Drosophila melanogaster: one gene and its partners. The protein of the gene in region 4 interacts with the protein of the main gene of each other region in a pairwise test. Each region holds a gene or a part of one and is shown on either strand. Other genes may lie near its edges.

The links.
Region 1: the proteins of CG1324 (region 4) and CG42674 interact in a two-hybrid assay, tested with the Drosophila melanogaster proteins (one large-scale study listed by BioGRID).
Region 2: the proteins of CG1324 (region 4) and Ntmt interact in a two-hybrid assay, tested with the Drosophila melanogaster proteins (one large-scale study listed by BioGRID).
Region 3: the proteins of CG1324 (region 4) and CG18745 interact in a two-hybrid assay, tested with the Drosophila melanogaster proteins (one large-scale study listed by BioGRID).

Annotation. Positions count from the first base shown.
Region 1 is NT_037436.4:20,195,260-20,200,155, reverse strand, and holds the start of CG42674 (uncharacterized protein), read left to right. Parts: upstream 1-1,838; 5' UTR 1,839-2,674; intron 2,675-4,896. Other genes in the region: CG42833 (uncharacterized protein), read right to left, coding at 1-38.
Region 2 is NT_033778.4:9,864,030-9,867,552, forward strand, and holds Ntmt (N-terminal methyltransferase), read left to right. Parts: upstream 1-1,602; 5' UTR 1,603-1,674; coding exon 1,675-2,505; 3' UTR 2,506-3,022; downstream 3,023-3,523. Other genes in the region: CG30010 (uncharacterized protein), read left to right, coding at 1-488; peo (pendolino), read right to left, coding at 561-1,040, 1,095-1,198, 1,261-1,325, 1,395-1,480. UniProt on the Drosophila melanogaster protein: Alpha-N-methyltransferase that methylates the N-terminus of target proteins containing the N-terminal motif [Ala/Pro/Ser]-Pro-Lys when the initiator Met is cleaved.
Region 3 is NT_033777.3:7,783,287-7,787,753, forward strand, and holds CG18745 (uncharacterized protein), read right to left. Parts: upstream 2,834-4,467; 5' UTR 2,668-2,833; coding exon 2,553-2,667; intron 2,032-2,552; coding exon 1,888-2,031; intron 1,831-1,887; coding exon 1,619-1,830; intron 1,552-1,618; coding exon 978-1,551; intron 913-977; coding exon 656-912; 3' UTR 557-655; downstream 1-556. Other genes in the region: CG18747 (uncharacterized protein), read right to left, coding at 1-115; CG18748 (uncharacterized protein), read right to left, coding at 3,083-3,255, 3,315-3,897, 3,958-4,166, 4,232-4,381, 4,443-4,467.
Region 4 is NC_004354.4:20,733,946-20,737,880, reverse strand, and holds CG1324 (uncharacterized protein), read left to right. Parts: upstream 1-1,920; 5' UTR 1,921-2,087; intron 2,088-2,150; 5' UTR 2,151-2,181; coding exon 2,182-3,060; 3' UTR 3,061-3,426; downstream 3,427-3,935.

The DNA of each region.
Region 1 (4,896 bases), on a different chromosome or scaffold from region 4:
AAGTAAAATGAAAATCCATTTCCTCTGGATGCTCGCATTTTGATACAGCGATGATCTCTAACTGATCTTTGATTTTATCTTCTACTCGTAGTCGCATGTCGAAATTCATTATCTTATCAATAGAAACGTTTAAAGACTTTTGAAAATGACTTTACAACAGATACAGAAGACGGTGGATAAGATAGCAAGCGTTATTTGGTTTTTGCCTAAAAGTTAGCTATATATTTCGCAAGATTCGGTAAAAGCTCGATTTGTGTAATTTAACAGTAAAGAAATATATTTTAAGACTTCCATTACCGAATTATGCTGCTCCGCCTAATTTATAAGACTTCAATCCGAATCCGCACAAAAACTGTATTTATAAGATACAAAGTGTTAACACATAGTAAAAATTGGTAAATAATAAATTCTCATTAAAAATTCAACTTTCGGAGCTTTTATATAACTGTTGGTATTTGCCAAACGTGGACTTATCCAAAGCTATGAAACTTATAACATCAATAACTTCTATTAATCTATTTAAAAATTATGATTCAACCTTCTAACCCTTTTGAAATAAGATCATATAATAATTCAAAATATAAGGTAGGTCAAGGCAATAGATTGCCGTATCGTTTTTCGGGCTGAACTTTATTTAAAAACTCATAGATGATGTCATCCAATCGGCATACGAACTTTGAAAGATTGTCCCTGATCTCGTCGCCCGTTGATCCGTTCGTTCATTCATAAATTATCCAAAACCATGTTGTTCAGCTTGATTATGTTGCAAATACACATATGTACACTGTATGTACATTCATATGTACATATGTATGTGTTCGGTGCTCATAAACGTTTGTGCGATATGTTTGTCTAATTTAAATTTAGCTTCTAAGGCGGTCGGGCTCAATTAGGGCTGCTTTTTGGCTTGAAGCTAATCGACGTGCCGTCCAGTAATTAATTCAGACAAACTCGTTGGTTGGAGTCGCGTGACTCATTATAAATCGCAAAATGGCAAAGTGAAAAAATCTTTTTGGGGTTCTGGGCAAAGTAAATTCAGGAAAGTTTTTTAGGGATATACATGTGTGTGTTTGTGCTTAATTTAACATTTAAAATGCAAACAAACTGCGCTAATCAGCTCAATCGATGAGATCGATGCCCTGGTTAATAAAGAAATTGTTGTTTGGTGAAATGATTGATTTATGGTATAAATGTTAATTAGTTACAAGGCCTCCGCTTGCCTATTTAGCCTTGAACTTTGCACATAACTGAAGATACATATATACATACATATGTACATATGTATGCGAATTTATGAGGGATGACCTCAATTATCTTTGAGCCGGAAGATAAACATTTAGAACCTTGAACTTGCTAAAGGTAGTACTATTAGCCTAGAAATTTTACGACATTCAATCTTTGGTTTTAAAGCATTTCGGAAGATTACAATGCAATTGCATTGATTGTAATCCACAACAACACTTCTTGCTTTCAAGCTAACGGCGCAAATTTAAATTTCCATTTCAGTCCAACTTCGTTTCTGATGTGTCACTCTCTTCCGGCTCTTAATTTAGTCTTGAGTCTTAAACGATTGCTTAATTTATTTCTAAGTTCGTAAAGACATCTGTTAATTATTATTAAGGTAGCACACTACTGATACCCTTTAATAGCTGTTAATAGCTTATTTTTGATACTCTGCCTGCAGCACGAGTATCAGCTGATGGTGCGCGGCAACATACACACACACACGCACGCACGAAGTTGAAGAGAGCGGTTAGGTGAACTAACTTAGTTCCTCTCTTTCCCGCTCTCTTTGCGCCAACGAGATTAAGCTTTTTGTACCGGCGATCGCTTCAGCTTTTTCAGTTGAAAACAAGTCACCCGCGAGCGGTGTTCTTTTTGCGCGCCGTTCTGCGAATAGTTTTATTTTGATTTTAGCCCAACTTAATTCGTTCCATGCGACTTTTCCTTTTCGCGAGCGGTAGTGACGTCGCCGTTTTTTGGACAATTGCGCACATATTAAAATCGCGAAGAAATAGGGGTTGTTGTTATTGTTGTTTGGCCGGAGACACGCGTCGCTTTTCCGCGTGTCTTTTATTTTTGTGGATCAGCGGCCACCTGAAAGGCGCCATTTGAAAAGCCAACAGCTGTGAGGCAAAAAAAAAACAAATATATGCATATACGTACATATATATTCAAGTGCAAAAAGCTGGCGTTGCTAATAGAAATAAATAAATATAAAAGGCAGAATAAACGTGCAAAGCGGTGCGTAAGTGTGTGTGTTTTATGTATTGCGCAAGCAAAAGAGAGCGCGTTCTGTGTGTGTGCGTGCGTACCTGAAAATATACATATAACTTAACTTGATTATTTTCAGTTTTGTTAGCAACAACAACAAAGAAACCGCTCGCTGAATAAGTCTAATTTGAAGTGCATTTCCTTTGTGATTGAAAAGATCGCTCCAAACTCCAAAAATCGAAATCGAGCAAGGCCATACGTATATATACTGATATATACGCATATATACACATTTATTCGTGTGGATTCAGAGCGCAAGCGTCGCGTCGCCATGCAAATGTTAATGAAAAACACAAACCCCTAAAAATCGACTTATCAGCTTAAAAAACATCACTAGATTGTCACTCAAAATAAAACACTATTAAAAAACCAACAAATCAGCAAAGAGCAAGGAAATCAGGCAAGTTCCTTAAAAATAATGCAGTTTATACGTACATATGTAAATATAGCGAAGAGCGACCTTCGTCACGAAACTAATTTAACTTAAAAACTGATAAGACCACTTGATTCGCCAACTCTTCCTCTTCGCGATTCGCCCTCTCCTTCTCGCGCAGTATCAGCTGCGATCCAAAACAGTGGACGGGGACGTTCCGACATTGCATACCCTGCAGTAAGCTATAAACTTCCTGCAGACTTGCTTTAAATGTATTGCTAAAGTGATACTCTTAATTCGGGAATTCTTGATTTTGTTGGTGTCCACTATCAACACCCTTTTTTTTTTTCTTATAATTGTTTGCTAACTGCTAATTATGAATCGACCGGAAACGAACCATCAGAAACATACAATAAAGAATTTATGTTGGTTTTTATAAAAGTGGTTATTCTTTTGCTTACTGTTTAGTTCCGATTCTATACAACCTTTTAAATAACATTATTATGACACTCCTCTTTGTATTTATGTTTTCATAAGCAAAGGTGCGATTCAGTCTAAAGGTGTTCCCATTTTCAATTTTCTTTAAAATTGTTTGTTATAGGTAGTGTGTGTGCTATGTTTCACAAAAGTAGCCAAATACATTTTTTGACGAATTTGTGAAGTTAATGGATTTAAACGACGTGCAAGCTCAAACCTGTCGAATTGCACGGCAACTTTCCAAAGTTCATGTTACTAAACTTTCGAGAAAGGACATTTGAATTAAAATGTTTTATCTTTGGGCCTAGTAATTACAAGTTATACATATATATTTAACGCATTCTGTACAGACCGCTTTTGTGAAAAGAGCTCTTTCTGCGAATCATTCATTTTATCATTCGTATGTACAGTTGTGTTGTTGAGATACCATTCGAACTAACCTAGTACACCTAATACACACTCTATGTCTGTCAGATAAAGAGCTGTACACGTGCTGGAGATGGCATATCTGTCGTTATCAAAGGCGGCTAATCTAACGAGTACGTGCGGAGGCTACGAGCTTCGCTTGGATTTATGTAACATTCAAAGATCCAAAATCAGGGGGCTGGGGACAGTTTTCACTATCCAGCTTTCGTTATCAAATGGTGCTGCACAATGCACCGAGAAATATTTTGTACTCATCCATTTGGTGGCGTAATTGGCTTTGGGGCCGAACCACTCGGTTCGATTCGTTTCACAACCGGTTTGGGTTCCTGCAGTTAACACTCATCTCAAACTGAAAGCGGCATCGGGGGTACACCTCACAGGAACTCCATGCACCCAGCCATCAATCACCTATACAGTCTAGCTTTTATAACTCGAACCAAACTGAAGCTTGAGTGGTTTGTCGAAGATCTTGAGTCCACAGAATCGCTTTACAGGAAGATATCAGGAAATTCCAAAAGCTAGAGAACATTGTCATTCATCATTCCACCAAATAAAATGTATTTCATATTTTTCGATAGTTCAAGCTAGGGAAGCTTGCCTGTACGCGTATGTGCACTCGGACAACAATGCGTTGTCAATGAAAGCCGCAAACTGGTTTTGGCCTAGGAGAAGCAACGCAAACGGTAGTGCAAAGTTTGCTAAGGAAAACGATGTGATCTCGAGCAACATATACCCAGAGTGTCTTAGGTATCGCGGTATTAATTACCATAGTAAACAAAAAGAATCGCGCCAGAAGGGCACCCAAAATAATATTTACAAATTTTGTTTTCAGCTACATGATAACTTAACGCGTTGCTCACTATTCAATTTCAGGCAGCTCATGTATAACCGAATAATAATAATAACATATAATGTTACCTTACCATCACGTGTTCAGCAAAGTTGCTTAGGCAAAGCAATAATTATGTTGATTCTGTTGCTAAAATGATATAATTGGTTATTCATAATGGTTGTATGACAATTATCTGCACTTTCGAGTACCATCTTTTTCCAAGTGCCACCAAGTGTGTGCAACTCTCTCGTTCCGCTATCATATCAATTGTTTGCAAGGTAAATTTGATCAGTCAATTGAAAAGTTGAGTCTGCACTCATAATGGGGTTTGGTCCACCCCGAGGTGGACTCTTCGCACCGCAGCGATTGGCATGTGGTAACGCAATACTCGATCGGAGAGACAAATAACTCGAACTAGCGTCGAACGAGAATCAATACCAAGTGAATCATAGCATCAAATCTGGTTAGTGCTCCTCCGCTCACAATGAAATTTGAAATCGCCAACGGAGCACAA
Region 2 (3,523 bases), on a different chromosome or scaffold from region 4:
ATGCAAAGATGAAAAACTTCACCAGCTGCTTTAAGGAGAAGGATTTCCTCAAGTTCTTTTTCAACCGACTGCGGCTAAACAAAACGAGCAGATATGAAAGCGAATTTCCATACATTTCCCTCTGTGGCCGCGAAAGGAATTTTATTAGGTGCGATGACACACCTGTTGTGTTTACTGAACAGCTGAGGAAGGACGATACGGAGGTGCTCAGCTATGCACACGCGGGACAGGTCCTTACCCTGCCTTACGAACCCCACAAACTGTACATGGATCCGCGAAACGGAAGGGTCTATCATCCAGCTGCGCCACAGGTGGGCGGAATAGGCCTAGTCCGCTCCAAACTGGCCATCGAGCTCAGCCAGCACTTTGAGTTTCTCGCTGGCGAGGCTTCCCCCACACATTTCCAATGGAACGGAGAACGTTTAGAGTTGCAGAACGAGTGGGTTAACAATACTCAGCGATTTCCCATGAACGAGGATTGTAAATAATTGAATAACTTTAATCGTTTTAAAATTGAGACAACGATAGAATATAACTTACAGAATATATGTATATTGGTTTTACTCAATGCTAAGTGGCTTAAACTCGCCCTCCTTAACCCATGACAGACCAGTTGCATGTCCACCATTTGCTTGTTGCGCTGAAGGCTCCGTCAGCTTGCTTCTTCCGGCCTTGATGCGCTCCAGAACGGGCCCGTGCACGTCCTGCTGGAACTTCTCGAATACTATGTAGTGCGGATCTTCGGTGGGTGGGGTGTCAAATATATGCTCCTTGCTCTCCTTGATATTTTCCTGTACGCGAGCAACATACTCCTCCTTGTTATTCATCAGCAGCTCCGCAGCCTCGCTGTTTTTGAGCTTATCTACCTCAATGCCCCGAATACTGTCCAAGGGATCGGAGAAAATGACTTGCAGGTACTTTAAAAGCTGCCAAAGGTGATCCTCTCCACAGCGCCACTCCGGGAAGGCGTGGCTCACGTCCAAACTGTGGGTGTACGGGCACACATGGGGATGAATCACATCCTGCTGGAAAATTATGCTCTAAAGGGGACTTGTAGAGTTAAATACGTTTGCTCTATTGCCGATCCTACTCACCGGAAGACTTTTGTCGTCGGGAAAACGATCTGGGAGCAAAATTGTGAATCGAAAAACACTTTCCGCATACAAGCCCTGTCGGCCAAAGAAGACTCCAAACCACTCTATTAACAAAAGATAAAATTAGCTAAAGACTGCATACAGGTTGGCAGGTGGGTAGACTAACGCAAGGAGTTAGCATAGCTGGGTATCACATATATCCCACTCAACTTCTCCGACTCAATCATTTTGCTAAAACATAAGAAATTAAATAAGTTTAGTTTTACTCCACGTAGTTATCAGTGAACTCTGAAAACTCACTATTCGGCCAGAATTTTATACTCCTGCTGTATGGTTGTGATCAGCAACTTGTCATCTTTCTTATGCGCATCCAAATCGAGAGTCATTTTGTCCGGACAATAGAAAAATTAAACAAAAAACTAGTAACATAAACAAACGGACAATTTTGTTGCTTGTTGAACAGCTGATTGGTGAAGGGTTGCCACTCTTTCGTAAAACCTAAATGGCTCACTGTGTTTAGGAGCCCTGGTTATCGCACTAAAACAAAACAAAGCATGCGGCCTTCGAAATCCTGACAAAAATGACGACTACATTAGAAGAGCAGCTTTCAGACAAGTTGCAGATGATGGACGAGACCACGGATAAGGTCCAGGGGTCGTCGAAGCAGAAGGATGATAGCAGTATAGCCGCAAGTTCAGATGCCAAGACAGCGTCCCCTTCTTCGAGCGATAGTTCGACCAAAGTCGCCGCACCGGAGTCCGAATTTTACAATAAGGCACAAAAATATTGGTCTGAGGTACCGGCGACTGTTAACGGGATGCTCGGCGGCCTGGGCTACATTAGTGCCATAGATATACAGGGATCGAATGTGTTCCTGCGCGAGATCCGCGTGCCGGGCAACAGGTTGGCCCTCGACTGCGGAGCTGGCATTGGTCGGGTGACTCGGAATCTCCTGATCCCCCGCTTCAGCTGCGTGGATCTTGTCGAGCAGGATCCCGCGTTTGCCGATAAAGCACGGGAGTACTGCACTTCGGAAGACGGAAGCCGTGGAAAGGTGGGACAGATCTATAACGTGGGATTGCAGAAGTTTACGCCTACGCAACAGTACGACCTCGTTTGGACCCAGTGGGTCCTGGGCCATCTCACGGACCGCGATCTGGTCTCGTTCTTTCGACGCATAAAGCAGGGACTGGCGCCCGGCGCCTTCTTGTGTCTGAAGGAGAACGTGAGCAGCTCGAAGAAGACAGTGGAAGATAGGAACGACTCGTCGGTAACGAGGCCTCTGGACAGCTATGAACACTTCCTAAAGGAAGCCGGATTTCGCATTGTACGCAAGGTCAAGCAACAAAACTTTCCCAAGGGACTCTTTCCAGTGTACATGATAGCCTGCAAACCCGTCTCCAAGGAATAGGTTTAGTATTTAGTTAGTTTTACTGTTGACCTACAAGCGATTGTACTAAAGTTATCCGAAAAATTTAATGTCACATTACTAGCTAGTCACTTCAAATTGTAGCGTTCTAATCAACGAATAAACAAGCTTACAAAAGCTTGAACACGTTCCTTAATTGATGCCTTCAAAGTGCTTTATTCACGGGATATAAACAAGAAAAACACAATTATTACTAAATTATGTTTACACAAAAATAATATTTTTATCAACCACGCGACCTCGCAATAGTATAGAATGCCAACAAATTCGTTAGTAGTAGAAAAATCTGCTTCCTTAAGTCCCCATTTGCCAATTTTAAATTAATTCTCATAGTGCTATTAGCAATTCTCTTTTCTCAATTCAAATGGATTTCCTTATCTCCATAAATGTTAGTCTTGAAGATCTGGCGACAGCGGATTGATCATAAGCTCAATCTTTTGCCTGGAAACAAGATTACTTGAAAAGTTTTTTAGGTATATAATTACGTCAAAAAGAAAATTACAATTAAAATATATAATTACGTCAAAAATAAAATTCAAATAAAGGGAGAATTTGGGGCATAACAAATATTTTCAGAAGGATATTAAAAATCCTAAGGACAAAACTTAAACATGCAAAAGTTGATAAAAAGTTTGTAAATGAGTTTCTTTATTATTATTACTATTTTTGCATTTAGGAATTAAGAGCCATATTCAGTTCTTTTCCAAATTTTTACGTTGGGTTCAGAAACTATTTTTAAAAGCATACTTTTAAAGAGGCTGCAAACTAAGCATATGTCTGCATTCGTTGAGTTGATATTTCAAACTGCATTTTTATTTCATTGTTCAAGCTTATATAGCTAAAATGAAATTCACATGTTCTAATATTATAAATGGCTTAGACCAACGTAGTGGTGGTCCTCACCATGAGAAAAGATGTGAGTTTCCACTTTTCTATATGCTATAAGAACGTATCTTATTTAACGAATAAGCGTTGTTACTTTTTAAGTATAGGCAGACCA
Region 3 (4,467 bases), on a different chromosome or scaffold from region 4:
CTTGAACCTCCTTGGACCTGTCACATTTAAGGGTCGCGCATCCTTTTACCAGCTGACCGGCGTAGAAAGTACCATGTTTATTATTATCGAAGCTGATCTCACACGTAACAACCATTTTTCCCAAGATTAAATGTCCGAGCGCGAAAAAGCTAAAACCGATGTTATGGGGCAACTCACTGCGACTAATTTAAGTACAAAACTTCTGGACTGCTTGCGGTGCGACCGCGTCGTTAGATAAGCGATAAGAACCATAACTTGGACCCGATGTCGGATTCGGATTTCACCGGGAACGATACGGAATCGTAGTCCAAACTGTATAAGAGTCGATAATAAGTTCCCTTGCGAACTACTCGGACGTTCACTTGGGGTTTTCGGTCTGTTATCAGAGTTGGTTGTCGAGACCTTGGCACTGGGGAAGTTATTGCCAGCATTCATCGAGGGGTTTTCAAGAGGAAAGAAAAGCGTCGTGTTTGAAAATCTTAGACTACATATGGTAATATATATATAATTTCGAATAATTTCAAAAATCGCTCCACCCTGTACCAGTCTTGGAATTGTGATAAAATGTTTATTATAAAGTGTTAGGTGGAACTTTTGCCTTGTGTGCAAATGCTTTATCGCCCTTACATTTCTAGTATAGTATTTATTTTCGTTCTCATAGCCACGTTCCCTTGTCTTTGTCCACATCCATGGCCGGATTGACAAAGGCCCTCTCTGCCATATAATTCTGCGTATAATCCGTCGGCGGCGGAGCTGAGGGACTGGGTATGTCGAAGACCGGATAGAGTGGCTTATAAGCACCGCCATCCAAACTGAGAGTATTGGGCGGTACTGGTTCCGGGTCGTCTAAGTCGTCTGACCTCGTTGCAGCCGTGCTGCGCATGTGAACAGCCTCCTGATAGTTGGGCGGAGCTAAAAACACCAACAAAAAACATAAATTGATACTGTAATTAGTTTATGGATTCTAGTAAACTCACGAATGGATGCGTCGACAGACCATGGACTTGAAGAGTTTGGAGCAGTGGCTACTTCTTCAACAGCCAGCTCATTAACATTCAGCTGGGGGACGAAACCCCGAGGCTGGATTGGTACGTGTTGTGCAAGAGGGACACTGCCAATGGTCAGCGGAATGGTGACAACCTCGTTGTTGTGGCAACCCTTCACCCTGGCCTCCACCTCCACTTGGTAGGCGATCTGGATGATGCCGCACAGGTTGAAGCAGGTGGGCGGAGTGGCCGGGACTCTGATCTCATAGCTAAATAGCTTCTTGCAGTTCCTTTGCACAGCGTCCCCCTTGAAGGTGTTTACCACCAACCTCTCGGACGTGGTATTGGGCATCGAAGGTGGCTTACTGTGGTATGTCACCAGCATCACAAAACTAATGAGGAGCTGCTCCACCGGAATGTGGCTATCGTTTGTGACCAGCACGCTAAGGGGAACATTCTGGCCAGGTACAAATCCTGTCTGTGGAACGGTCAGTTGGAGGGCCAACGGATCTGATCGGCAAGGCCAGCAGCAGTAGGTCTTCGAGGTTTCACTGTGGGCGGGTACCTACATAACATATTCAATTAGCTTAGGTTCTAACAGATATGTATTCGTGTTTGATTTTGATTCGTACCCTTAGCAGTGGACTATCGAAGTTCAAGTCCATCACTTTTAGCACCGTAAAGCATCGGGTATAGCTCTGATCGAATTTCCAGGGCCTGACGAGGGTTACGGTTGCCATGTACCGCACCCTGCCGTGTGATCCCTCGAAGGACGAAGGACATTCGGTGGGAATCAGGCACACGAAGTTGTAAGTGTGAATTCCCGCTTCAATGGATACTTGGCCTGCAGATATGATTAGCAATTAGATGGACTTTCTTGCCTAAATGGAGCTTTACGTACTGCTCAGATTGGATCCCACCAAAAATGTTTTGGACGCTATGTAATCCTCGCGGCCGCAGAATGTGCGACGTCTCCTCCTTCTGTTTGTGGTCACCCTTTCAATCCAACGCGTCTCTGCGTATCCGGTTATATTCAAGGTGATGGCTGCGGAGAAGAAGTTGATAAGGTATTTCTTAGAAAGGTATTTTAGCTCAATGTACTGTAACGAATTGAATTTATTCTTTAATTGTTTTTTAAGTCATCTAAACGATGATTATGGTTTTGACAAATTAAAATCTTTTAATCATACAGAATTACTGTTATGCATTCACATGAAATATCCATAAAAACTTACAAAAGCAATCGTTGTATATATGAAAAAGTCAAATATGTATCCACCCCTATTTAATATTAATTAATGCGAAACCCATTGATTATTTAAAAATAATTTAATCTTATCGAACGCAAATATTATCATTGATGCATTTGTGTATGTTCGCCAAACACCTTCATGTAGACATTAGATTTCGCACGTGTGGTTCTCTACTCACTATAAATATATGAGTCACCGGACTAAATCTTCGTTTAAAAACATTCAACCGCACTTTTAAGTTGGACGATAAGATAAGAATGACTCATGGCATATTGTCAAATTCCAAAGGTATCTCAAATCAACTGCCCCTCACCTTTTACCAACTTCATCTTGTCCAGCTTCAACGTAACTCTGCCAGTGAGTACCTCGCCCCCAAAGTAGGTGCCATGGGGATTGTTATCGAAATCAATTTCACAGGTAACAGTCATAATTGTAATTGTAACCGCAATCGTGTATTTATGGGCCGATCCTACTCTGATGCCGCTGCAAACACGACTGATTTGATTTTAATGCCAATGTTCAGTTATTTACTCCCTAAATTCCGAGAACTCCAGACAGAGTGGAAGGAACCGCTTTTCGCGACGATAGCACCCACATGCCCACTTGGCTGCCAGAAATCAACTGAGAATAAAACAAACATTGCGGTTGTTCTATATTGGTAGCGATGGCCAGAAAAACTTTATCTTATCGCTGTCACAATTTTGAATTATACATTTTGCCAAATGCAGTCGAGCAGCAAATAGCCCTCATATCTCCGGAAAAATCCCAAGGACTTCTTGACAAGCAGGCGTGGGATGGGATGTCCAATGGTTCTCAAATGTAGAATAGTTTTTTCGCCCGCCTTCATTTCTTTTCCTCTTTATCCAAAGCCGCTTCCTTGCTCTTTTCTACAGTTGAAGTAGACAAATCGAAGACAGGATACAACGGCTTGTAAGACTTCTCTTGCGCATTTCCCGACTCTGACTGTTTCTCAGAGTCACTATGGGAATGCATGGCCTCGGCGTAGTTCGGTGGCGCTATAAAAATCGTATGGTTACATAATTGATATGGACATATTAAAACAAGGACAGCTTACATAGTGTGGATCCTTCTGACCAGGGATATGGGGGAGCAGCTGGAGCAAAAGCTCCCTCTCCCTCAATCAAAGTCAAAGCTCTTTGTTCTGGAGCCTCTGGCCCAGAGCTCTGCGGCGTATATTGCACCGCTGACGGCGATATCGGAACACCACAAATAGTCACCGGCATTATCAGAGTTCCATTGATATGCATGCCCTTCACCTTGGCCACAACCTCGATCTGGTATCCGATCTTGATAATGCGGCACAGATGGAAACATGAAGGCGGAGTAGAGGGTATCATCAGTTGGAAGTCGTACATTTTCCGGGAGTTCCTCAAAACTCCATCTGCCTTTAACTTGGCCACGGACTTGCGCTCGCACTTGGAACCTGAACTTAGATCACTGTAGTAGGTGATCATCATTGATAGTCCAACCTTCACTTCGTGCACCCGAATTTTGCTTTCGTTACCAATCAGAACATTTGCGGGTACCGTCTGACCAGGCACAAAGCCAGTCTGCGGCAAATTCAGCTCCAGCGTTAGAGGATCCGATCGGAAGGGCCAGACCCCAAAGGTTTTCTCAGTCTTGGCCTGCACGGGAACCTTAAAAGCGATTACATTGTTATAGCAGACCTCCAAAATTTCGTTTCATGTTATATTTACCTGTGAAACAGAGTTATAGGTGTTTATGTCCATCACTTGAATAACGGTGAAAGCTCTTGAGAAAATGCTGTCGTACTTCCACGGCTGAATGATATTGACATCCACCATATAACGTATACGACCATGAGTCCCCTCGAACGATGAGGGACAATTGATTGGAATTGGACAAGCAAAATTGTAGGACCTAGTTCCCGGCTCCAAAGCCATTTCTTTGCGAATACATAAAATGAAATTTTGACCAATTTCAATAACAAATTATCACTCAATATTTTACCAGGGCTAATTTCGGAACCCAAAAGATAAACTTTACTGGAAAGGTATTTCTCAAATCCATTGTACGACTCTGAAGTGGACTTGTTATTCGAATCAGTCTTGCTTTCGGTCCAATGGGTCTCTGCATAACCTTTTAGCTTAAGTCGAATTGCTTAATATGTAAAATGTTGCGAGAATTATATGAAGTATCGCAATCACAACTGAGTACTTACCTTTGATTTGAATCGCCTTATCAGT
Region 4 (3,935 bases):
TTCGGTCTGTGGGCTTTGTTGGCCATTTGATGGAAGCCAAAAGTCAGGGCACAGAAGCAGCAGTAAACAATCGTAAAATCTCGAAGGAGACAATGGGCTGGCCAGGAAGTGGAAACGACAATGCCGGCATCTCGTTCTCCGTGTGCGGTGACATCATCGGCCAATGCCAAATAGCAAATGCCAAACAACAATTACCCAGGGCTGTTACCATTTTCTCGGCCCTGATTGCTTCATTTTCGGTGGCCAACAACTCCGCTGGATGAGTTATGGCCACATGGATGGCTCATCTCCAGACCAGCTTCTGTCGCAGTTTCAGTTCAGTTTCAGCTCAGTTCCAGTCCACAATAAGATCTCAATGGGATGTTTGAGGGATCCTCGGACGGGTTTGATTTATACTGCGGATGCGTCTGGCATCGACCAGCCGTTGGCCTCATAAATGTCCCAGAAGGACCTCCGGCAGCTGCCAGTAACCATTTCAGGGTATTTTTAAGCCATAATTGTATTACGACAAGCTCATTTTAAATGGTCTCCACCTTTCAAAAGCCTACGTATCCTTACAGTATTTAATTCGCAGCTAAAAACCTCGTGATTCTTTTCGCATCTCAAGCAAAAGTTTCGATGGTTCTATATTAAAGAGAATTATTAGTTGGTCAACATATTATATGCGTTACTTCCGAATTGGTCGGCGGTGTAAGGCGTCGTCATGCTATGAAAACCCATTTTCCCGAGCCCTAAAAACCTTGGACCAAACAACAAACGACTTTTATGCGTTGACATAAAAGGGCGCAGCATCAGAAAATCAAAAACGATAAAAACGGTCTCTCAACTTTTATTTTACCCCGCATGTGGAGCTGCAAATTGTCATTAGACATGCCGAATTTATGATTTTCGACTGTGATTTCGCTCTCTTTTTGGGCAATCTGCCATTCGATCCAGCACCACCCACCGACGCCCGCTTAAGTATGCTACACACATTTTTTTGGTAACCCTTACCAAGGCCCAAAGCACCCCTTTACTTTACCCCTCCGCCGCCGATGTGTATGTGGCACACAAACTCATAAATTGTATAAATTGTTCGGCTATTATTTCTCGTGGCTGTCAACGCAATATTGCAGGCAAATTGTCCTGGACAATGACGACAACATGTTGGCGGGGAAATGGGCAAGCAGGGGTTATAGGTCGGCTTGGAAATACATTTTTCTATGTGTTTTTATGAGCCCCGAATGTGAGATGGAGGCACATCAAAATGGAGATTACCTCTAGTTTTCCGACAACCTGTTTTATTAACAAGTTTTCACCTCTCGTATCGTACCTTCTAACGTGTATGATTTAGGTACGATTGGTCCAGCTGTGAATCTGCTGCTTATGTTCAGTGATTCTATCAATATAATCTATCATTTTCAGACGACAATTTCGGTTGCAGACCGCCAACCCCTTAATCCCTAACCATATATGGATTTTTTATATAACCATTTTTATGGAATTTTCTGCTCGTTTGTGTCAGATTTTTACCCATTTTTCGCAATTGACTTTGCAGCCTTGACTTACGCCAAATGACATAATTAGCCATGGGCGGGGGGCGTGGCAGGTAGTCGTTTTAGGGCTAGGGTTATTATATAGCACGTAACCCTAGCGCTGGCCATGCGCCATAAAAGATGCAATTTCGCGCGAATTCTAACCCCAGCAAATCCTTTTTCGTCCTGCACTTTAATGCCCGTTTTTTTTTCCACCGAAAATACCCGGGTTTCCTCCCTTTTTATGCCGTTTTTATTATTATTTGCGAAAACGGTTAGAAAGTCAATTGTTTTATGGGATTACGGAAAAGCAGCAGGCGGGGCATTCCAGTAGGTGCTGCCTCAAAAGTCAGCTGCCCAAACATTTGGGGCCTACAACGCTACGCCCAGATCCCCAGTCGTTCTCCGAGCACCGACTCGACAAGACCCAAAATATATTCGAGCTCAAAAGTTTACAATTTCGAACAAAGTCAAGGCTTCACAAAATTTTCATATAAAATTCACCGTTGAAAATAACTTTTCGTTCCGCTCTTTTTTCGTTCCTTTTCTGTTTAAATATACAATATATATTAGGTAAAAAATAACATACTACACGTACAACTTTTCAAATTCAACAAAAATATATATTCCATACAGATTAAACGGCGTACGGACCCACTGAGTTACAATGCAACGTTCCATTTTCAAGAGTAGCTGTTCCAGGACACTGATCCTGCTTAACTCCCTGAAATCCATGCACCACAAGAGCCTGCACGTGGAGCAACTGTTGGAGGCAGCTCCAGCGCCCAAAAACCGCTGCCTGGATCTGTTGGGTCGCTTGATCCATGGCCGATTGAGTCTCTTGGGCGGTCGTCCTGTCCCGCCCAGATTCTTACCGCTATTGGCGGGTGATCGAAGCCTGTACTTTAATGCGGACGAGGACGAAGAGTTTCGTAAGCGTTTGGCCATGCAGCTGAAGGAGTTGCGAGAGACCCTGCAAGAAAAACAGGAACTTCGCGAGGGACAAGAGCAGGACTTTCAGGAGCTGGAGCAACAGGACGAGGAGGAGGATCAGCCGTATGTGCCCAGATCTCGGGAGATCTCCATGGAGGATCTCACTGACGAGGAGCTAAGTGACGTGCGGGGGCTGCGGATGAGTGCCAGCCAGGATGATGGCAAGTCTGGTAATTTCGAGCAGCCAGAAACCAGTGAATTGGAAAGCGAGGAGACGGCGGATGCTAAGGATCCCCGGGAGTCCGGGCAGCCGCGAGAGCCTCAAGATGCCCACGATGCCATCGAACACGTTCGCGAGGGTGAAATCGAAGGAGTTTACTGGACGGGCGAGGGCAAACGGATTGTCACTCAAACGCCACAGCGTAAGACGGGTCATTCGGGATTCATCGATGGCCATGGCGAAGAGATTCCCCAGGAGGACTCCAAGCAAGAGGTGGCTCCCTATCACCCTGAGCCTCGGGCCCAGGCGCAGGCCACCTCCAAGGTGATAAGGAAGGGCCGCAAGCCCAAGTCGTCAACCAAAACCAACACGCCCAGCGATTCCGACGAATAACTAAATTGCCAGTAAATGAAACCAAAACCCTCGAGCTGGGATCGCTAAAATAAATACAAAAGGCTAAAGACAAAACGCTCTATGCCGTGTTTCCCTTTCCCAGTAACCATCTGAGGTTTCTGCGGGTTGCATTCAGTTGAGTCATCTGCAGCCAGCACTACCTGGCCACTGCTTAGCAAATTTTATGCAATGACCAGGAGTCAAGGACGATTTACCTGGGCGGACAACACACGCTTCCCACACGCGGCGGTGGGCACTCTCACTCTTTTTTGCGTCCTCTAAAATCCTTTTTTACAGCCCTATCCTTTTTTTGGCTTTTGGTGGAATTCTGGGAAAATTTTACATAAAGATCGTAGAACACCGAGCATGTTTTTTTTTTTTAATATAATTTTTCAAATAGATTCAAATGTTGCTAGCCATTGGTGGCTCGTTTAATGGTTTAATCAACATGGACAAGAGCCAAGTCCATATTCTCCCCTGTCTGTGGCTGTTCCTTCTGTACCTGCTCCATTGACCCAAGATGATAAATGATGTTTGCCAATCTAGCTGACCCAAGGCCGGAAATTAAATTTGTTCGAAAATTTGCCACTTTTCCCCGTCTGTTTCTTATTTGTTGTTTGTTTCCCCCTCAGAGTCACGCCCGAAAAAAATCTGGAGAAAGGACTGTGGGAACAAAATGGGGAGGAGATATGGAGAATTAATATCGGGCTTTGGGAATCTTGTAGAACAAAAACATATACATATAACAAAATAATGTTCTTGATGTTCTATTTTTAACTAGAAGAATCTTGGGATTAAAATACAAGTTTTTATTGACTTTTGATACAAGACTTGTTTCATAAATATAATAGCAAATGAGTGCTCGCCGGTTTTCA